4 linked regions of the Schizosaccharomyces pombe genome follow. The gene in region 1 interacts genetically with each later gene. Each region holds a gene or a part of one and is shown in the gene's direction. Other genes may lie near its edges.

Region 1 (7,825 bases):
CTATTCGTAATTATCTAATAGATGTTACCAGCGGGTATTTTTGTATACAGAATAGTTATTCTCAATTACCAATAAAAACACCTTAGCTAATATTCTAACATATGATATTTAGCGATAGACAAGCATAATGTAGCATAACATATAGTAGAATTGCAGGTATTACAAAAGCGATGAATATATTCACAACTTTGAGCCATGGAAATCGACCATACACATTTTTTTGGTGTAGCATATGCTCAAATTGGCTTTAAAAAAAAGTTCATGAAATAAAGAAACTTAGTCATCGACAATGGACCTTGGAAAAATAGAAATCCGAAAATTAACGTGATACTGTTTCATATTTTGTATTATTTATTTAGTGTGCGTGACGCATGTTATTAAATATAGCCTTTGTCAAGTTCGTTAAATTAAGCTTATTTTTTATAGAGTAATTGAATCTATTGACGTAACTTACGCCTGCGATACAGAAATGCAAACAACGAATTTCAACTTTTAAAATCTACCATTGTCTAATATTTAAAAAAGCTAGAAATGAAATTGAGGGATAAATGGAAAATTTATTTAGGGTTAACGACTATCAAAGTTCAATGCCCTTGTTTTTTTTTGTTTCACAATGATGAAAATCGAACCACTACATCTAACTTAGATTCGGTAAAGTCTAAAAAAAAAAGAAGGAAGACGATATCTGATGCTTCAATCGTTTCTAATGGATCTCTAGTCTCTCATCCATCTATTGACAAGGGAAAACTCTCTATTCTCAAGCGATATAAAATGTCGCATCGATTAACTGCAATTGATAAACTAAGACCGCTAACTGTGTTGGTAGCGTGGAAACAATTAAACATTGCTATGAGACCAATATTTCCGCAACATCGTTACACCGAACAGGATAAGAAGAATTGGAAAAAAAAGGTTATTATCGAAGATTTAAATTTTTTAGTGCTGCGGTGTATATGCGCTTGCGAAGCAATAAGCGATTTTGAAGAGCTTTTGGGAAATATGCGAATTGGACTGATAATTGACATTTCATTGCTGGGTATGAATAGCAATGAGTCTTCCTTTCTACACTATCTTGTTGAGGTGTGGTCGATTTTTTATTTAGAAATATTGCCGTATATCGAAGCTACGTTTTTGCCTGTTACTTTTGCAAAATTTGAGATTGCTCAATTATTTGAAGAGCCCATGAAAACGTACTGGTTAAAAAAGAGTGCTAATATAGATTTGAAACTGTTTTCTATTTGGGTGTTTCGTAAATTTGTTGTAATGCCAAAGCTGAAAAAGACAAATCGATTCATTGAAATTCCTCAATTGAATACTCAGCAGCAGATTTTACTCGTCCAGATGATTTCCATTATTTCTCTCATAAAGCCACAAGATGAATCCGAAGATCTTCTAATGAACTGGCTAAACGAACTGACTTTAAAATTTTTATATGTCTGAAATTTAATATGTTTTAATAGAAGATAGACTTTTTATACTTTCAATATTTGTTTTTAAAGCCCATTTAAGCAATTTATCTTTTAATATTTGCGGCTTTTGTTAGGTATTTAATAATGTTACCTATTCCTTGTTACTCAATGGTGTTTCTATTTTGCTAACTGGAGTATGCAACAGGACCTCCATATAGACACTTTTTAAAATCGAAAGAACTCTTCTAAGCCCTCTTATGTAATACCATCTTTCCCATGGGTTTGTAGGATGAATAGTTTCCTTTTACTTGACCATGTGTCTGACTCTCAGGATTCTGGAAGTGAATGGTCAAATACTCATGGGTCTTTAATTTCACAACGTGGAAATGAATACGATGGAATTACGCCGGCTACTAAAGAAAAAAATCAAAATAAGCTAGAAATTCTGAACAATGAAACCACCATCGGTTCTACAAAGTCATCGGTGTCTTCATTGCCCGAATTGAATAGGAATGTTTCTTTTGAAAAAAGTGATCAAAATTTAGCTGAAACAAAGAGGGAAGAAGAAAACAAACGAACTGAGGTTTTTAAAAAAGATGCCGAACACGAAGCGGTTGTTGTTAAAAGAGATTTTCGCCCTAGACGTCCTGAGCAAACCCGGCCTTATACTTACGATTTCTTAAGGCATCAAATAGAGTTTAAAAGAATAGGCTTGGTACCCATCACCGTACCGCATGGTTTTTCTTCTGATCGATCTATTACTTCTAAGTCCTCTCATAAACCTGTAAATGTTATAGTTCGTAATCGTGCTTCTTCACGTAAACCACCCTTGACCTCTACTCATCGCTTTAGAAGGTATGGAGCTGTAATATCTGATAGCGATGATGATGAGTCTAATACTGAGCAAGATCATTCAAAGGAATCTAATCTGAATACAGCTGACAATGACCTCGCATTGTCGTCTACTATTGAAGGAAAGAAAACCTCAACTAGCAAAGAGGCTTTAGAATCTGAGTCTTTACTTTCCGATTCGGATCAGTCTATGACAAATATCTCATCGAATTCTACTGTGAGTGATCTGAATTTGAAAACTTTAAAGAAAAGATTACGAGGAGTTTTACCACCATCATTTCTAACTCTTCAAGAAAAAAAAAAATTGGAAAATAGAGGTGTCAAAAAAAAGACATCATTACACAAGAGTGTTATTGAGGGAGAAAAAATAAAAGGTGTGGCTCGACGGAAGTTGCATCCTAGATCGACAGCTAAACTATCTAGTGAATTAGGAAACGAAATATCGGATTCTGACAATAGCATTTCTACGCCAACACCAACTGATGATTCACGGTTTGACACCAGCGAGTTTTTAGATTCAATTTCTCGTGATAATGGCTGGTTGAAAGAAGATGTGGTTGATCAATTATGGCTTCCTAAAAGAAGTTTATCCGCTCTTAAAAAATCAAGTTCTTTGACGTCGGAAAACCCCTTTCAGCTAAATGTAGCAGCCAATGCTGTTTCTACTATTCCTGTCTATCGCACAACTAAAACCAAAATGAAAAAAAATAGATTTAAATATGTCGAAGTGGAAAAATTACCAGACCTTATCCTTGAATCGTATGGGAAAAAGGCGCCAAAGTTTTTGAGGGTGTTTGCTCGAAGTTCATCTCATATTCCAAAAATGATTAGAAGAAAAAGACAAATGGATTCCAAAAAGTATTTTTCCTTCGACAAAGAATCCGATCGCCAAGTTATTGATCAAGTTCTTTCTGATTGGTATTCAGGTAAACATGAGCTTGTTCAACAATCTCATTCTTACAAAAAGCCTTCAGATTCTAAGTCAGTTGGTGGAAATATTTTTTCTGTTAATTCTAAAAAGCATAGTGTAAATATTAACGCTAAAACAGCAGCAAATAACGGTTTGAGTCATCTTCAAAATTTTAGCGAGGAACTCTTAAAAAAAAGAAAGCTATTTTCTTCTCTTTTTTCTAATAACGTTTCATACAAAAAATCCAAAAAGTTAAAAAGGACTCATACAGTACATGACAAATGCCAAAAAGTTGCCAAATTAGACCATTACATTAGGGACAATATTGAATTAAACTCAAAGGAAAGAGAACATGATTGTTATGAGGGGACTTTAGCTGTACCCCAAGTAAATACTGAGATCCGCAAGTCTTCAAGAAAGCAGAAGGCTCAACGATTTATACGAGACGATTTTGACACCGTCTTTTTTCAATCCTCTTCAAACCCTAATTATTTTACAGATGTAAATCCTTTTTGGAATATAGGTATTTGGTCTACTACATTTAATGTCATAACTTTTAGACCGGGACTTAGTTTGCCCAACAACTCCTTTATAAAAACCCAAGGGTTAAATTCTATTCTTCAATTGGACATCGTCACACATCCTTTTAAGTCTGTTTATGCTTTTTCTTGTTTATTCAATATCCAGGATGATGTTTTTAAAACATTCGAAAAATTAAAAGACACTTTTGAGACAGTCTTAGAAAATCTTCCATACTTTACAAACTCTGAAACTGTTGACTTGTACAATCTACTTTCTTTTTGCTCTGCGTTTATTCTTCATTCTCAAGTATCAATGGGCTTGGTTAACTTGGCTTCCTCCTTTTTAGAAACCTATGCATTAGTCAATGATCGTGTTTCTTCTATATCGGGGTTGAATAGATCACAATTGGTTGAAAAAATAGCTGTGTTGTTTCAAACTTTTCAAGTTGTATTTTATTGTGAATTTGAACTTGGAAATCAGCAAAACATTAATAAAGTTTCCTGGCTGGCAAGTGATTTGATTTCAAAACTTCTTTCTGCTGGTCAATCTGGTCTATTGGAATGTTATCGGAATTTGAGAATTCAAGCTTCAGATACGACTGTAATTGACACTCTTTTTTTGGAATCTTGGTCAATTTTAAATCATATTCTTTTTCATGTATATAAGAAGAAATATGCTTTGTGGGAACAGGTGAATTCATTTTTTGATCTTCAAAAAAAGGAGTTGTCTATATTAGAAATGGAAAAAATTTGGTATGTTATAATGACGCTCAATCCCGTTTTCCAAATTGGGCTTAATGGAACGACTCATTCACCAGGAAACAATAGTTTTTGGCCACTGATAATCAGAGTTTCAGAAAGTGCATTTAAAATGCATAAGGACGGACACAATGTTAAAGTGGTTGAGCGATACCTTCGCACAGTGTTTCTTCGAATTCATTTTCTCATATCTGAATGGCGTTGGGAGGATGTGGCTCAAATCCTATTTTTGATATTCGATTTCTTTAGCCATAGAAAGTTTAATGACCTTTCTTCTGAAATATCTGAAGATACACCAACTGACTTTCCTGATTTTGTTAAGTCACTTGACAGACCTCCAAATCTTCATGTAACTGCTCTTGATACATGTTTTGTAATTTATTTAAAAGTTATTTTAATTTCTATAAGCCGTTTGAGGCAAGTAGATGAAAATACAAATTCAATCAAGAGGATAGTATCCAGATTACAGCCCTTACATTCACGTCAATACACGCGAGAAAGTCCATTCTCAATTAAGGACTTTATGTCTTTGGAACATACTCACACTCTTCTTATTTGTCTTTATTGGGCAGCACCCGAGAATTGTAGGCCCAGTTTAAATCGCATTAGGGATATTGTAATCGTCGATAATTCTCATCTTAAGGCACGTTTAATTAGTCTAAAAGCATGGCTTCACCTAATGAAGTATGTGATAAAAGAGGGAACTGATTATGAACTCGCTCAGGGAATGGAGTGGTTTAATTCCATTTTAAAAGTTACATTTGATGAATATCTTGCTCTCTTTTCAAATGGAACTTCTGTTGGTGAGATGCAATTGGCTGAATACTCGAAACATCAACTTGAAAATGCGCTAATTGTAGCTTTCCATTCCCTTCAAGATTTAATTCCCAATTCTTCAGTTTATATTAGTAGGATAAACGTTTTGGTGACGGAGCAGTCATGCCGGCGCATTCTTAAAGACTCTCATTTTTTTCCTCCTCGCGTTACTCTGGAGTGTATTTTATTTCTAAAAAAGTTTTTGCAGTATCAATCTAATACAGAGCCACCTAAGGTTACCGTTGTTGGTAGCACTTCGCATGATAGTCAAGATGCTTACTTTGATTCTGATGTGCTGGATGATAACACACTCATTTTAGAACAAGAAAAGTTTGAACGTAAATACGAAGTGGCTCAAATATTGAGAACATTTGTTTCACCCTTTTTGTATCAAACGATATCTTATCTCGTTGGAAATGACGAGGACAAAGAAAATTATATTCGTATTTTACTTTTACCATTAATGGAGTGCATGGCAATTTGTGCTAGTTTTGCTGTAGAAGCGAAAATCAATGACTGGAGTTACTATATCGATTTTGGGTCTGAGTCTTGGGAAAGGATTCGTAACACTCCTTTGAAAAGATCTCTCAGTACCACGTTTTATTCCTTCCTTATATCTTATAATGATTCTTTTATTAAAAAACATGAGGAAAAAGTCTTAACTGTATGGTTTGAATCACTGGGCGCTTTAGATGAGGATCATGCTGCACAATTTACGATTTTGTTATTACAGAAAAACCTAAAAAATCCTATTTTGCTTAATTTACCGATATCCGTCAAAATTGAGGAAATTAGTATAAATTACTTTAAGTCGGTTCACTTGAATTTATTAACAGCTGTGTTTTGCAACATGGCAAAACTGTATGCTGATGCCAAGACAAATGGTTTCGCGAGCTCTCAATATTTACAGAGCTTGTTTATTCATTACCTATCCTCTCTACTGTCTTCTATGCAGCATAGTTATGAGACAAATGGTCATTCTTCTGATACTCACTCTTTGTTTGTTATTAATTCACAACGTGTTGTCGGAGACATTTTACAGTATTGTAGTCAATTTGCAAATGATCGTAACCTTCCTGCCCTCAGATATTTTATGGACTCAACTAAGTTCCCCCAACCACCGGAGCGTCTCGAATATACGGCCTTGAGGTTACGAAGTTATGCGAGAAAAACTCTCACAAATTCAGCTTCTCAAAATGCTTTGTTTAGTTTCCTAAAAGCAAATTTTGATGTTGCTCTGCTAGAACAAAAGCAAACTGAAACTTCTAATCTTTTAAGGCTGGCTATGGGATTCCATAATCAAAATAGCTCCAGCAAATGGGATGTCGAGATTTCTTCTCTTCGGAAATTTTGTGTAAAGGAACTTTTATTGAGTTACCTTGGTGAAGGCTCGTTAGCAGCTATGTTTTATTCATTGTTACTACTGGAGGGTCTAAGCCGAACTTACAACAGCTTTAGACGTATATATTTGCAACCTTACATTCAACAGTTACTGTGTGAAGAAATTTCTGTTTTTGTGGCTGATTTAGAGAAATATGCTTTATTATATGAAAACAAACGCCCTTTACTTTCTGGGAGAATATATTACCTTATTTCTTCATTTGTGGCTATAAGCATGACAAACAAAACCAGTGGATTGCCATCTAGTTTAATATGTAACTTACAGAATTTTTTAGCTCGCATAGCTCGAGACTTCCTTCTTGAATTATGTTGGAATATTGAAGGGTCTGAGTTTCCCCCTCCTTACAATACTGTTGATTGTCGTAGCAAATTTGTTAAAACTATTCAGCAACATTGCTCAGCGGATTGGTACGACAACGTTACCAATATTGTACATAAGTCTAGGAAGAAAAAACTAGTTTTGCCTTCTCAGGTGGAACAGGAAGAAGAATACTGGTCAGGTTTAATGGAAGTTACTATTCAAATATGGAAACACGATAAAGGTTTTTTAGAGCCTGAATTAGATAGGTTTCTCAATGTAATTTGCAGTTATGCACCTGACATGAGTGGGTTACCGACAAAAATCAAATGCTTTTTGGATAAAATCGGCTATTCTTGGATGACTGAAGAGAATGATTTTGATATTGTATTGTTTTAAAAGCCAAAATTAAAAGATTTTTCAGTTGTGGTTGCTTTTGGTTTCCACGTTGTTTATTTTATTTATTTTATTTATTTTTAATATTTCATTTGATGTCTGTGTAATACACAAACTCATTTATTAATTATCTCTTGTTGTATACAAAATAATTAGACAATGAAATAATCCAGTTCTGCATATTTCTTTTGCTTAGAGCTCTTTTTTTTTGCTACTAGTACATCCATTAATGTACGTAATTTTATTATCACATGACTGTGGTCTAATTTGACCAGTAAAATATAATGTATTTCTATTATAAGCCATCTGATCAAAAATACTTCTAACCTAAGATAAAACCCAAAATCCAAATATATTATTCTGTATCAGAATAAGCAGATGACCCTTCATTTCCGCTGTCATCATTTTTGTTCGAAGAAGTAATACCTTCTTTTTTCTGGTCTTTTCTTCTTTTCTTATTTTC
Region 2 (3,395 bases), on another chromosome or scaffold:
GTCTTAAAGTTACTCTGAAAACTAATCAAGTACATACTGTATCTTTCTTTGAGTTATCACTATTTTTGTCTTCATTTATTTAGAGTTTTTATGATGTGAAATTCATGTATTCAGATTTAATGCTATTCCAAATCTTACATTGCATAATGCGCTATTAAAATTAGCAAAGAAATTGATATCAAAAATCAAAGATTAACAATGTATTGAACGATCATATATCTTTTGATGTCAAAACGCTTATATGGGTATTCATTTTATAAGTATAGTATAGCATTGCTGAAGTATAAGAAGAATATTTACGAATGTGTTTGCAGTATAAGATCTCTCCTCTAATTAAATTACTTTTTTAAAAAAGAGAAATAATAATCTAAAAACTCAATCGTCTCGTGGGGGCTGGATACCCAAACAGTGGTAGCAGCAGCTCTCTTTGAATAGGTGGTTAGTAATCTTCAACAAAAGTTTATTTCAAACTTACCGCTTTATAATCATTGTTACCAGCTGACAAGAATTGATCACCAACATGCAGACAGCGAGAAGGATGGGAAATATTAAAAAAATGCTGAAGGCATAAAACACCCAATTTCTTGTCACCAATATCACACCAAATATCATTTCCACCATTGAAAGCAGTAAAAGGAACTGAGAAATTTCGTATCTGCAACGTTGCTTGTGTCTCCAAAACAGCTTCCTCCAGTTGCTCCCTTCTCAGTTTTTGACCAAGGGAAGGTACAAATCCAACTGATCTTTCTTTACGAACTATTTTTGCATCAATGTTAAGTCCTTGAATGCAAGAACGAAGAGTTTCTTCAGCAGTATCCAAAATTTCGAGAATCTCATCATGAGGCCATGTTTTCATCACGGGAAGCATCCATGAGTCAGCATCCACCCATTGTAAACCATGCAGTGGGTCATAAGCAAATAAGTAATTGCTCTCGCCTCCTAATACATGAAGTTTCCGTTTCTGCCCATCCTTCAAGTCGCTGTCTTCGATTGCCTGCAATAATCCTGAAAATCTATCAGTATACTCCTGGCCAGTACGACTGGGATAGCCAGCAGCAGTAAGAATGATGACATAGATCCCCCTCGAAAGTAACTGAATCAAACGGGATATAACAGGATTGTCAGGAAGCAAAGGCTGCCCATCTTCGTACAGAGTTACATCTCCATCAAAACTGACCATATCCAAGCCATTATCCGCAAGGTAATTCAATTGAGCACCTCCTAATATTGCCCTGACATCGTTAAAACTCGGTGCCACAAAGCTTCGTTTAGCTAGACAAAGCTTTGGTTCCAACGCGTACATAGCTTTCACTAATGGCAAAGGTGTCCAAAATATGGTGATCGATGGAACAAGCATCTTTAACTGGCTATAGGATCCACCTTCTGAAACTATTTGAACTATCAATGAGAAAGGTTAGAAAATTAAAAGAATGAAGGGGAAACTTACTATGAGCCTCAATAAGTTTTTCCACATCTCTTAAAATTACAGCGTAACGCTCAAGCGTTTCCTGCTCTTTTTCGCGCGTTACTAGTTTCTGTGAAGGGGTTCCTGCCTGTAAAACAAAAGGAACTGACAACAAACCTTTAATCCATTCAATAAAATCGTCCTTCCGATGTTGCTTTAACGCATACTCAACACGATATCTAGAAGCCATTGCCTAAACCTTTAATGACAAACACTTATTCAAAAAAAGAAATCTACACGAATGCAAGAAATTTGAAGGAAAGTATGTTAATTGAAAGAGAAAGGGTAAAAGTTGCTTTATTATGCTTTCCGAAACGATTCAAAAATGATTACGTTGAGAATTGTTATACTAGTATTAGCAGCGAGCACTATCACTCAAATACGTCTATCACAATTCCAAAAATTAGCTATAATTTATGAGCATTCTTAACAAAATTTTATAAAAGTATATAGTCCAGGTGTAACATGAGCCTTCTGAACTATTCTTCCTCTACACATTTCTAATCCGCGTTAAATAAGGAATTTTCTTTCATTAGTAAATTATAAACCTTTCTTGCTGCGCAGTTAAATTTGAAAGGTTCTATTCGCTTTTCATTAGCAGTAAAGTCAATAGTACATAGAAAAATTGCTAGATTAACAGAACTTTTGAAGCGAAACAGCAAGCAAATCGATATTTATTGCATTCACTAACTCTCTTTTGCGAAACATACAAGCAAATATATATTTTAAAAAAACACCATAAGAAATGTCTACAGCTGCTTCTGATTCAGGTGTTGAAAAACTCGTCGAGGAAAACAAAAGGGAAGAGGTGAAAAAGAATGAAGAAGAAAAAGAATTTGATTTAGGGTTAGAAGAAAATCCAGATTCTGTAAAAAAACCTCGCAAACGGTTGGCAAAATTTGATGAAGAAAGGTAAGAATTTGGTCGGTTTTCGGAAAATAATTATTGACCACTCGTTTTCCCTATTTAGATTGATTTCTGAAAATGGAATTCCAAAATTAAGGAAAATGATGCGCAAAGTTAAGTTAAAAGGAAAGGGTCATGAGGCAAAAGACTTAAAACAACTATTGGGAATGTATCATATATGGACTCATGAGTTATATCCAAGAGCCACGTTTGATGACTCAATATCGTATCTTAAAACTCTAGGAAAACACAGATCCGTCAAGGTTCGACGTCGTGGTTGGATTAATGAAATTGCTGTTGAAAATGGTTCGGACTCTAATGCTTCATTATTTACTGGTCCATCTTCCAATTCATTAGTGAATTTGACGAGCGGAGATCCATATGTTCAAGATACAGCTGATGATGCTTTTGTCGCCCAAGACAACGATACCCAATTAGAATAGTCACCATTAATGAATGATTGAGATGTTGTTGCAGCTTTGTTTATCAATATTAGTAATCATGATCATTTTTTGGGACTATTTTCAGCTACTTTTATTTGATGTAATGTTTAATTTATTCATTTTGTTTTATTTAAACGAACAATTGTAGCCTCTAACTCCGAAATTCAATAAACTATAGAACATCTAGACAAATGATTTCCATTCTACGAATTGACCAGTAAGCTTTGGATTGTTATTCAAGGCTAGAAAAGAAAGAGCTTTGGCGATGTCCTGAGGAGCCACAAGTTGACCGGATGTTTTAAGTTCTTTGAAAAAATTATGAGTATCTCCACCCATGGCTTCTTTATTGGAATCATTACGGATACTAACTTGCATAGGGGTATCAACAACTCCCGGACGTACTGCCACACTCATTATATCAGGCTCCTCGCTGCCAAGGTTCATGACTAGCATGTTGATGGCGGCCTTTGAGCAACAATATGCAGCCCACGCGGGAAAAACACGAACAGCAGCGCCAGAGGATACAATCACAATAGTACCCTTGGTTTTACGCAAATGCGGGATTGCATACTTCACTGTTT
Region 3 (5,934 bases), on another chromosome or scaffold:
TATTCATTTTCTGCAGAAAGAAGCTCAAGTTTAGCTTGGAGAGCAAACAAAGACGGCTTAACGACACTTTTCGACAATTTCGAAATTTCTAATTGAAGGGTCGAGTTCAATTCATGTAATAGCTGCGTAAAATTCATGTTTTTGGCATTGTGCTTACCATAATTTGTTAATATTTTTTCTACAATTTCATCAAATGCCTTCTTCCGTTCTTCTAAGGTAGAAAGACGCTTATTTATGTTTTTGTAAATGCTTTCCTGATTAGAAGGAAAGGTAGATATTTGAGCGGTACTGTAAGAAGATGAAGAAGATGGAGAAATATCGTTAAAAGAGCGAGTTGATGTTGCAGGATATGATTCACTTTTTCCTGTTTCATTTCCTATAACAACAGTGCTCAAAGACTTAGATATCACAGTAGAAGAAAGTAAGGTGTCTGTACTATTCAACTCGACTGATGGATTCTTTCTCACTGGTTTGCTTTGAACATCGGTATCTTCTTCGTCCACAAAAATAGGACTTTCTTGAGGCTTCCGGATTTCATCTGCTTTAATAGCGCTTCCGTCGTTCACTTTTTGTTCTAAGAAGTCTTCATTTGCTTCTTCAAATTCTTCTATCATAGTTTTTCCATAAACCCTAAGTAGGCTTACAGGACAATAAAATTCTGACCCATAATGAGTTAAAAACTCTATTTTAAGATACTTCGCCCAAATAAGAGGGTTCTCAATATGAAAAGATTGAAGAGTCCTTAGGTTTAAGGCCGTAAATGTACCCAATTCCATCCAAGAAGACTCGTATTTTGGATATTTACCGCTTACACTGACCTTGAAATCACGAAATATACTTGAAAAAAATTCGAAGTTGGCAATTTGAACTGTATCGACATAAATATCCTCACAAAGTTCAATTACCACGAACTTGTTTTCAGCGGAACATTTGTTCAGCATATATTTGTCTTTGTTTTCGGTCAGAATCGAAGAAGATCCGACTGCTTCAGGATTTGTTTTAATGACAGCAGCAGCGCAGTCAGTTGAAGCAAAGTTGAATCTTTTTTCTTCTGAGAATGCAACAGTCTTTTCATCTATATTTGAATCAATTGTAGCTGCTGCTGAAGTAGAGGAACCATCCTCAGAAATTGGTAGAGTAACCGAAGAACTAGTAATAATATTAGTATCAATAACTTCCGTTACAGAATAGTTTTGCTCTAGCTTCTTTGAGGATGAAATTGTAGACGTCTCGTTCACCAATGGTGGGCTAATTGAATCTATAAATTCGCTAGTACTTGTTCCATTGGAATATTCATATTTTGACAAAAAATTAGAAGAAATGGTATCACTTCCATTCAAACTCGTTTTTGTGTGAAACGAAGGTTCCTGGTACTTATTTGTGGGAGTGAAATCCCATGTTGTAGGGTTGCTAGCTTCTTTTTCTTCAGATTTGGTAGCAATCACAGAAAGGTACGCATCACATACCAAATTTTCGTTATGCGTATCTGGTGACTTCAAACACAATGCCGGATATTTACACCAATGACTCGTTTGTGGAGAGCAGCAGCATAACCGAAATATAATAAAATAAATTAAAAAGGCATTTCCAAATGCAGACAATCTTCTTTTGACCATATGATTTAGGCAGCCCTATCAGTTTAATGTGGTAATTGGCTCAAGTCAAGTGCCACACACTAAAGTGTTAGCATCAATCATCGCACATGCCCTTGTTTTATCGCTTTGTTGGTAAAACATGTCTTTTATAACGATTTTAATTAAAAAAGAAGAAAAAGGGTAAAGAAAAAGGCTTGCTTTAATCACATTTCTTCGTATAATAATCAAAAATAAAGTCGTCTACAACGAAACTTCTTGACATCGCATATAATATTTTGCAATGGGGGTTTCAGGTCTTTGGGATATTTTAGAACCGGTAAAAAGGCCTGTCAAGCTAGAAACACTTGTTAACAAACGGTTGGCAATTGACGCTTCAATTTGGATTTATCAATTCTTAAAGGCCGTACGTGACAAAGAAGGAAACCAGCTGAAAAGCAGTCATGTTGTAGGATTTTTTAGAAGGATATGCAAACTATTATTTTTTGGGATTAAACCTGTATTTGTTTTTGATGGAGGAGCGCCGTCATTGAAACGCCAAACTATCCAAAAAAGACAAGCCAGAAGACTCGACAGGGAGGAAAATGCCACGGTCACGGCCAATAAACTTCTGGCTTTGCAAATGAGGCATCAGGCAATGCTTTTAGAGGAAAATAATAAAAAAGCTACTGCATTGGCAAATGCCTCGGTTCAAAATGAGAGACAAATGCCTTCATCTATGACATTGGATAATTCAGAAATTAAGCCAGTACTTAATCAAAGAAAAAATTATTTGAAGCCTGATCCATACCAACTACCTGAAATGGACGTTTCGTTTGATAAGTTAGGGTCGAGTTACGACCCTCGAATTATGTCCCAGGATGAGCTTACACAATATGTCTCTAGTTTTACTAAAATTGAAGATATAAATTTATTTGATTTTTCAAATATTGATTTTGACTCTGAATTATTTCAATCATTACCCGATACGGATAAATATAGTATTTTAAGTGCAGCAAGATTACGCTCTCGTTTACGAATGGGTTTAAGCTCTGAACAACTTTCCGAGATGTTTCCTAATAGAATGGATTTCTCTCGTTTTCAAATTGAGAGACTGAAGGAACGTAACGATTTAACTCAGAGATTAATGGACTTTACTGGAATGAATGAGTTTGGACCCTCTAGAGTAGTAAGTGAAAAAAACCGAGAATATATTTTAGTAAAAAACGAAGGTGCTGAAGGTGGATGGGCTCTCGGTGTTATCTCAGGATCTACAAACAATGAACCTATTATTATTGATGATGAGGCTACAAAACTTAGCAGCAATCTTATAGACGAAGACGAGGATGAGGCATTCTACGATGTGCCTTTACCTAGCCGATCTCATAGCATGAACCCTAGAGAATTGGTAGCCGCTAAATTAAAGGAAATAAAAGAAAATTCATTTTCGGAAAATCAGCAATCAGATGAAGCAGATTATAATGTTACTGATGATTTAATACTTCAATTAGCAACCCAGCAATCTCTAGAGGAAAACAAAAAATCAAAAGAGCTGTTTAGTCTTTCGGCTTCTGAGTTTGATAAGTTGAATAGCGAGAAAAAGACGTTTGAAATTTTGTCGACCGATATTCCTGCAGAGGATTCAATGAATTCACTTCTTAACGACGAGGAAAATTTGAAACTTGAACATGTTGGAGATGTTTCCAATGATTCATTAGCATTCGCGGAAAAAAAGCATCCTGAAAATGGGACTTCAATTTTTATGGATGCCCTTCCATCTGCGAGTAGAGAGAAAAAAACCAATGATTTAATTGATCCTTTACCTTTTCAGCCTATGGATTGGGGAAAGTCTATTTTTTTCGAGAAATTAAAGAAACCAACTGAAACATTTATGGATTCTAAAACTGATATACCAAGTGAGGCACCGGATAATTCTAAACTTGTGGAAGATACAAATTTACATACTATTAATGCAACAGTTAATATTGAATCCGATTTAGACGCTGCTAAACCTGGAATTGAAAATCCAATTATTTCACCTCTTCTTCCGGTAAAAGATGATGAAAAAGATTTAGACTTACGTGAACTCAATCCTTTGGAACCCTTTGAGAATATGAAAGAACAAGCTGATGATGGCACAGTTACCAACCCATTAAATGTTTCTAGTGATAAGGCCATGTCAGTGTATTTATTGAGCTCCGAAAATGCTAAGGATACTGGGGATATCAAATCCGAATCAATTGACGCTGTTCTTCCTACTTTAGAGACCAGCAGCCCTTCACTTAGCATTCCAACTGACTTTCAAAAAGAAGCCTCTCCAAATAAAGGAGCTGCTGCCTTGAGTTCGAAAGTAGAGCCTGAAGTGGTTGAAAAACTTTTAGATGAGGAAGAAGAGGAAATGATTATCAGGATGGCAGAAGAAGAAAAGGAATATGATCGGTTTGTTTCAGAACTCAATCAACGACATGAAACTGAAGAGTGGAATCAAGAGGCCTTTGAAAAAAGGTTGAAAGAGCTCAAAAATCAAAAAAGGTCTGAAAAACGTGATGCGGATGAGGTCACTCAAGTAATGATTAAAGAATGTCAAGAACTTCTGCGTTTATTTGGCTTACCATATATCGTTGCTCCTCAAGAAGCAGAAGCCCAGTGTTCTAAACTTTTGGAGCTAAAGCTGGTTGATGGGATTGTTACTGATGACTCAGACGTGTTTCTTTTTGGTGGAACTCGGGTATATCGAAATATGTTTAATCAGAACAAATTTGTCGAACTCTATTTAATGGATGATATGAAAAGAGAATTTAATGTGAATCAAATGGATTTAATTAAGTTGGCACATCTTTTGGGAAGTGATTATACTATGGGACTTTCTAGGGTAGGTCCAGTTCTTGCACTGGAGATTTTACATGAATTTCCTGGTGACACTGGACTTTTTGAATTTAAAAAATGGTTTCAACGTTTATCAACTGGACACGCATCAAAAAATGATGTTAATACGCCAGTAAAAAAGAGAATTAACAAGTTGGTTGGAAAAATTATTTTACCATCAGAATTTCCTAATCCGTTAGTTGATGAAGCTTATCTTCATCCGGCCGTGGATGATAGCAAGCAATCGTTTCAATGGGGCATACCCGACCTTGACGAGTTACGCCAGTTTTTGATGGCTACTGTGGGTTGGTCAAAACAACGAACTAATGAAGTTTTACTTCCGGTTATACAAGACATGCATAAAAAGCAATTCGTGGGTACACAGTCCAATTTGACTCAGTTTTTTGAAGGTGGTAATACTAATGTATATGCGCCGAGAGTTGCATACCATTTTAAGAGTAAACGGCTTGAAAATGCTCTTTCATCTTTTAAAAATCAGATTAGCAATCAAAGCCCAATGAGTGAAGAAATTCAGGCAGACGCAGATGCATTTGGTGAATCTAAAGGATCAGATGAACTACAAAGCCGTATTCTTAGAAGGAAGAAAATGATGGCAAGCAAAAATTCCTCTGATTCAGATTCAGACTCTGAAGATAACTTTTTAGCAAGTTTAACTCCGAAGACGAATTCTTCTTCAATTTCTATTGAGAATCTACCTAGAAAAACCAAGCTTAGTACTAGCTTACTAAAAAAACCCAGCAAAAGAAGAAGAAAATAAGTTTAATAAATTATTTATTTATTTGTTTACTTAACTGGTTGTTCCTATAAAAGAAGTTACTGTAATTTTTTGTTGAGTAAATTTTTTTGAGTTTTCCTGCTGTAACTGTGTTTAGACAAAGTAATTGAGCAACATAGCTTATATTTTGTGATTTATTCGTGTTTTGATTATTTACAATTTTTCTTGCTCTTTGTTACCTTACCTAATGTCACTTTCTACTACAACCTACTTAGCAGCAGTAAAGTAAAAACGGAGAAACAGAATATTTTTCGAAATGTTAAGTACAAAAATTGATGCGGAAAATGCGGAAAATGCCGCCGAGGTAAGCCTTGGTTATTATTTATTTAATAATACTTACAGATTTTAGATTGAAATGCAGGTACGTGGTTGTAGAAAGTATTTAGTTTTGGTAAAGCATGTACTGATTTAAAAAATTTTAGTTTGCAGTAAAAGCTGTTGAACAGGCTCGTAAGTTGAGCAAAATATGATGGAATAAAAAATAACAATTTAGAAATATACTGGAGTCTTTTGGAAATGCGCAAGGGAAGCGAGTTAAAGCTGACAAAGTAAGTATATATTTACATCTTTAATTTAAAGTTCAAATTGCTTACTATTGAATAGATACGATGATGAGATTTTTGAAGATTTAATAAACACCTTCCCCGAGTTTAAAGACCCTAAAACAGCTTCTTTTGTTAATGAGGATGAAATGAAGTCCGC
Region 4 (5,443 bases), on another chromosome or scaffold:
TGGTCCAGAGAAATTGGAAGAAAGCTTACTTCAACGAAGTACAGATGCTTTAATTGATTTTGAACGCACTCATGGACGGTTTCCTCGAGTCTCTGGGAGGGGCCCCTATGCTGCAAAAATGTTGGAATTATTAGAAAAAACATACCAGGAAGAAGCAACAATAAACTTTGGGAAGGTGGAAGGAGAGATTTCTGCTCTCTACGATAGCGTTCTTTTAGTTGATCGATCATTAGATCGTATTACACCGTTTTTGACTCAACTTACCTACTTTGGATTTTTGGACGAAATACTTGGAATTCAGCAAAGTATGATTCATATTTGTTTATTATTTATCTAACTGATTAGTGAATGTCAAACTTCCTTCATCCTTGGTTAACCGAAATGAAGCTTCAAATACTGGACCGATGAAAAAGTTTTCTTTAAGTTCTTCTTCCAGCCAAATTACCAAGGAAATTAGAGACATAAATTTTAATTGCATAGGCCCTTATTTAAGCAAAATTGCTCGAAAACTATCCAGCGATTTTGAAGGTCGACGTCAAGCCAAAACTGTAAATCAGATTAGAGACTTCGTTTCCAAACTGGGTTCCTTACAATCGGAGCATACATCATTAAATATTCGTAAGTATTTTTTTCTTTTGATTTCCATAAAAAATTTTATTAATTAGATAGACACTGGTCTCGCTGAAACTTTGGTGCAACACACAAAAAATAATTACTTTCAAAAGCTACTACAACTTCAGCATTTGCTAGTTTCTCATGCCGATTCTTTTACTCAATTCAATTTATTAGATGAAATTATCTATGCCGAAGCACCTGTTGAAGAGGTTTTTCGAGTACTTTGCCTTGCAAGTATAACTACCAATGGTTTGAGAAGAAAAGATATAGATCATTACCGTAGGGAAATCACTCAAACATATGGTTATTATCACCTTTTAACATTCCAAGCCTTGATAGATGCAGGACTATTGCGCCTCCGGCAATCCACTAATATTTCACTTCAAAAATCATTGTCTTATTCTACATGGTTAAACACTTATCCTTTGGTTAAGGACGAAGTTGATGAGCAGAATCCTGAAGATATAGCCTATACGTACAGCGGGTACGGTCCTTTGTCAGTCCACATAGCATATGACATTTTAAAAGGCAGAGACAATGAAGAAAAAATTCTTAAGTTGCAAAATATGCCTGGAACTTACGTTGACAAGTGGACATTAGACCAGGAAAAGGTCATGCCTAAAAATTTGAAGACAAACGTACCAGGTAAACGTCGTGTTTTAGTTTTTTTCATCGGTGGTTGCACGTACACAGAGCTGGCTGCATTTCGTTTATTGCAAGAAAAAGAAGATTTATATGAATTCACATTTATGACTACGGGAATGGTAACTGGAAGCTCTCTAATAAGAGCTTTTATTCCAAATATTGAATCTTTGAATGAGTGATGATCACCCAGTTTCATTAATTTGTTCAACAGCTAAAGACGATATTTAATCTCATTTTTTTTCACTAAGAGAATCCCATAATTTTAATTATTGTTTTTTTTATTAACCCACTTTATTAAGTCCTTAGTAGTTTATGAATTTGAAGTGGCATTAAAGCTTTCCCTATATGCTGTTAAGCTATTTGCTATTTACTGCCAAAATATTAGCTTACATATTAAATAATAAACCTCCAATATTTGGCAGCTAATGGCTTATTGTATCAATCAAATCACCTTTTTTTTGTTTTGGATATTCAGTGGCTTTTGGTATTGTTTACAATAAATGTAAAGTTAAAGCTTTCAAAATTATTAGAGATTACTTTTCTCGTACTGTTAATGGGTTTATTTTGAAATATGCACATTTATAGCTTTTTGCTGCAAGCTTCGTAACATTAAATTTTATTTTATTTGAAAATTCCAGTTTCTCATTTAGCTACTAATTTTTACAAACATTAATTGTCAATATTTGGTTGTCATGACAACGAGTGTACGTACTCAATATTAATCCTTCTTTTACTGTATTATAGATGTATGCAAACAATTCACAATGTCTTCGTCTGGTAAGGTTTCACGTAATTTAACAACATTTGCAAAATTTTTAACAACTGAAAAGATTCAGATTCCGTGTCTTTATCCATTAGAAGGAGGCAAAGACGCGGTTCATCTAAACGGATTAGTATGAAGGAGTCGGACGAAGAGAGTGATAGTTCTGAAGTATGTTCACAACATAATAATTAAAGATTGTTGACTAATTGTTTAGAATCATCCTCTTAGTGAATCGTTGAATAAGAAATCCAAATCCGAGAGTGATGAGGATGATATACCGATTAGAAAGAGACGTGCTTCTTCAAAGAAAAATATGTCCAATTCAAGCTCTAAAAAAAGAGCTAAAGTAATGGGAAATGGTGGTTTAAAAAACGGAAAAAAAACGGCGGTTGTAAAAGAGGAAGAGGATTTCAATGAAATTGCAAAGCCCTCACCGAAGCATAAACGTGTTTCTAAAGCGAATGGAAGTAAAAATGGCGCGAAGTCAGCTGTTAAAAAAGAGGAAAGTGACACAGATGATTCAGTTCCATTGAGAGCTGTTTCGACTGTATCTTTAACTCCTTACAAATCAGAACTGCCTTCGGGAGCTTCGACCACGCAAAATCGCTCACCAAACGATGAGGAAGATGAAGATGAGGATTACAAGTGGTGGACTTCAGAAAATATCGATGATACTCAAAAATGGACTACATTGGAGCATAATGGTGTAATTTTTGCTCCACCCTATGAACCTTTACCAAAGAACGTCAAGCTAATTTACGATGGAAACCCCGTAAATCTTCCTCCCGAAGCAGAAGAAGTTGCTGGTTTTTATGCTGCAATGCTTGAAACCGATCATGCCAAAAATCCTGTATTCCAAGATAATTTTTTCCGTGACTTCTTAAAGGTCTGTGATGAATGTAACTTTAATCACAACATTAAAGAGTTTTCTAAATGTGATTTTACCCAAATGTTTCACCATTTTGAGCAAAAGAGGGAAGAGAAGAAGAGTATGCCGAAGGAACAGAAGAAGGCAATAAAGCAGAAAAAAGATGAGGAAGAGGAAAAATATAAATGGTGCATACTTGATGGGAGAAAGGAGAAGGTTGGTAACTTTCGTATTGAACCTCCAGGGTTATTTCGTGGTCGAGGTAGTCATCCTAAAACTGGTTCTTTAAAGCGTCGAGTATATCCTGAACAAATTACCATTAATATTGGTGAAGGTGTACCCGTTCCAGAACCACTCCCTGGGCATCAATGGGCGGAGGTAAAGCATGATAATACAGTGACCTGGTTGGCAACCTGGCATGAAAATATAAATAATAATGTCAAATATGTCTTTTTAGCTGCAGGAAGTTCTCTAAAAGGACAGAGTGACTTAAAAAAATACGAAAAGTCAAGAAAGCTTAAGGATTATATTGATGATATCCGTAAAGGCTACCGGAAAGATTTGAAAAGTGAGTTAACGGTTGAGCGTCAAAGAGGAACTGCCATGTATTTAATTGATGTTTTTGCTTTAAGAGCAGGAAATGAAAAGGGTGAAGACGAGGCGGATACTGTTGGTTGTTGTTCACTGCGATATGAACATGTTACACTGAAGCCACCACGAACAGTCGTTTTCGATTTTCTTGGTAAAGATTCTATTCGTTACTACAACGAGGTTGAAGTTGATCCCCAAGTTTTTAAAAATCTAAAGATCTTTAAACGTCCTCCCAAAAAAGAGGGTGATTTAATTTTCGACCGTCTCAGTACAAACAGTCTTAACAAATATCTGACTAGCCTTATGGATGGACTTTCAGCTAAAGTATTTCGTACCTACAATGCTTCATACACCATGGCCGAGGAACTTAAGAAAATGCCTAAGAACCTCACCCTTGCAGACAAAATACTATTTTATAATAGGGCAAATAGGACTGTTGCAATTTTATGTAATCATCAACGTTCCGTAACCAAAAATCACGATGTTCAAATGGAACGGTTTGCCGAAAGGATTAAGGCATTACAATACCAGCGGATGAGACTGCGAAAAATGATGCTGAATTTAGAGCCCAAGCTTGCTAAAAGCAAGCCCGAATTGCTGGCTAAAGAAGAAGGCATTACCGATTCATGGATCGTAAAACATCACGAGACACTTTACGAACTAGAAAAAGAGAAAATAAAAAAGAAATTCGATCGTGAGAACGAAAAATTAGCTGCTGAGGATCCCAAATCAGTGCTTCCGGAATCTGAATTGGAAGTTCGATTGAAAGCGGCTGATGAGTTGAAGAAAGCGCTGGACGCTGAACTTAAAAGCAAAAAAGTCGATCCAGGTCGTTCTTCGATGGAACAACTTGAGAAAAGATTAAACAAACTCAATGAACGAATTAATGTTATGCGTACTCAGATGATCGATAAAGACGAGAATAAAACTACTGCTTTGGGTACAAGTAAGATTAACTACATAGACCCGAGGCTTACTTATTCGTTCAGCAAGCGAGAAGACGTTCCTATTGAGAAGCTGTTTAGTAAGACGATTCGTGACAAGTTCAATTGGGCTGCTGATACACCTCCGGATTGGAAGTGGTAAGTCCTCTACGATTTAAGAAAAGTATCTTTCATTGAACTTTTTAAAAAAAAATTATTTATTATCATCCTACGGCAGACAAATTGTGAAAGTGCTTCGTAATTTCGTGACTTAATGATGTCTTGAAATGAATGCTAGCGTACAACAACTTAGTGTGCTGAAAGAAGGAATTAATTACTTCTAGTTTAGTGTTTAATAAAAATTCATACAAAAAATGCAAAGCTAAGGAAGTTTTTTCAGCAAAAATATAGACAGAATAAAATTTAGCACAAAACAAATTGAACGTGACATTTCATACTATCCCCATTGCATTTGGCTTTTTTTTTCATAATTACTGTTTACTCTTGAGGTCTTTTTCTTTAATATTGGTGAAATGCCTGTTACGATCATCAAATTCAATATACAAGCAAACTTACTCTTGTAAACAATTTTTTTTTTGTTTTTTTTTTTTTACAAATAGAAAAGGAAAGAAAAGCCAAGCTGCTGCTTTTTTAATCTTTATACCAATTACTCTTCTTTGGTTGTACTAAATAGTTTTTCAAGCACTTCTATACCATCCAAATTACTTTTTTCTCTAGCGTTTACATTTGACTGCCTTTTTCGCATCTTTAAACCCGGTTTCCACTTTTTCGTTCTCTTTGTCAGATTGGCACAAGTTCCGGTATAGCAGAAATATCAGTGGAAGAGATTTTGTCTCACTATTTGCTGGAGCAATCCAATGCAACCACGAGCGGATACAATCGGGTTGGTAAAGATTAAATTACGTAAAACAAAGTATGAACACACTAGCATTTGGATCCTACCTTCTACGAGTACCTACATTTACTCAACCGGATTCCTAAATATTCATTTTTAGCAGTTTCTCAATAGGAGATAGC

The links.
Region 2: of mus7 (region 1) and swi3, a mutation in one rescues a mutant of the other (synthetic rescue), as found in Schizosaccharomyces pombe (one study listed by BioGRID).
Region 3: mutations in mus7 (region 1) and rad13 impair growth when combined (synthetic growth defect), as found in Schizosaccharomyces pombe (one study listed by BioGRID).
Region 4: of mus7 (region 1) and top1, a mutation in one rescues a mutant of the other (synthetic rescue), as found in Schizosaccharomyces pombe (one study listed by BioGRID).

What each region holds. Positions count from the first base shown.
Region 1 is NC_003424.3:2,407,844-2,415,668, reverse strand, and holds mus7 (DNA repair protein Mus7/Mms22), read left to right. Parts: upstream 1-1,621; 5' UTR 1,622-1,698; coding exon 1,699-7,365; 3' UTR 7,366-7,533; downstream 7,534-7,825. Other genes in the region: HbrB family protein involved in TOR signaling Bit2, read left to right, coding at 532-1,440; SPOM_SPAC1B9.03C (ribosome biogenesis protein), read right to left, coding at 7,718-7,825. UniProt on the Schizosaccharomyces pombe protein: Involved in protection against replication-dependent DNA damage. May act by restoring active replication forks, repairing unusual DNA structures, and/or preventing aberrant DNA rearrangement at arrested replication forks.
Region 2 is NC_003423.3:3,090,343-3,093,737, reverse strand, and holds swi3 (replication fork protection complex subunit Swi3), read left to right. Parts: upstream 1-1,881; 5' UTR 1,882-2,210; coding exon 2,211-2,377; exon of another isoform or gene 2,378-2,435; coding exon 2,436-2,814; 3' UTR 2,815-2,879; downstream 2,880-3,395. Other genes in the region: isn1 (IMP 5'-nucleotidase), read right to left, coding at 339-425, 476-1,398, 1,448-1,655; SPOM_SPBC30D10.05C (sepiapterin reductase), read right to left, coding at 2,998-3,395. UniProt on the Schizosaccharomyces pombe protein: Forms a fork protection complex (FPC) with swi1. FPC coordinates leading and lagging strand synthesis and moves with the replication fork. It is required for programmed fork-pausing which is necessary for mating-type switching.
Region 3 is NC_003423.3:2,672,299-2,678,232, reverse strand, and holds rad13 (DNA repair nuclease Rad13), read left to right. Parts: upstream 1-1,663; 5' UTR 1,664-1,875; coding exon 1,876-5,214; 3' UTR 5,215-5,243; downstream 5,244-5,934. Other genes in the region: SPOM_SPBC3E7.09 (Sad1-UNC-like protein), read right to left, coding at 1-1,616; SPOM_SPBC3E7.07C (uncharacterized protein), read left to right, coding at 5,489-5,536, 5,582-5,593, 5,655-5,682, 5,726-5,780, 5,836-5,934. UniProt on the Schizosaccharomyces pombe protein: Single-stranded DNA endonuclease involved in excision repair of DNA damaged with UV light, bulky adducts, or cross-linking agents. Essential for the incision step of excision-repair.
Region 4 is NC_003423.3:2,941,162-2,946,604, reverse strand, and holds top1 (DNA topoisomerase I), read left to right. Parts: upstream 1-2,008; 5' UTR 2,009-2,024; coding exon 2,025-2,037; exon of another isoform or gene 2,038-2,090; coding exon 2,091-2,191; exon of another isoform or gene 2,192-2,237; coding exon 2,238-4,568; 3' UTR 4,569-4,871; downstream 4,872-5,443. Other genes in the region: HOPS/CORVET complex subunit, vacuolar sorting protein Vps33, read left to right, coding at 1-305, 346-618, 670-1,439. UniProt on the Schizosaccharomyces pombe protein: Releases the supercoiling and torsional tension of DNA introduced during the DNA replication and transcription by transiently cleaving and rejoining one strand of the DNA duplex.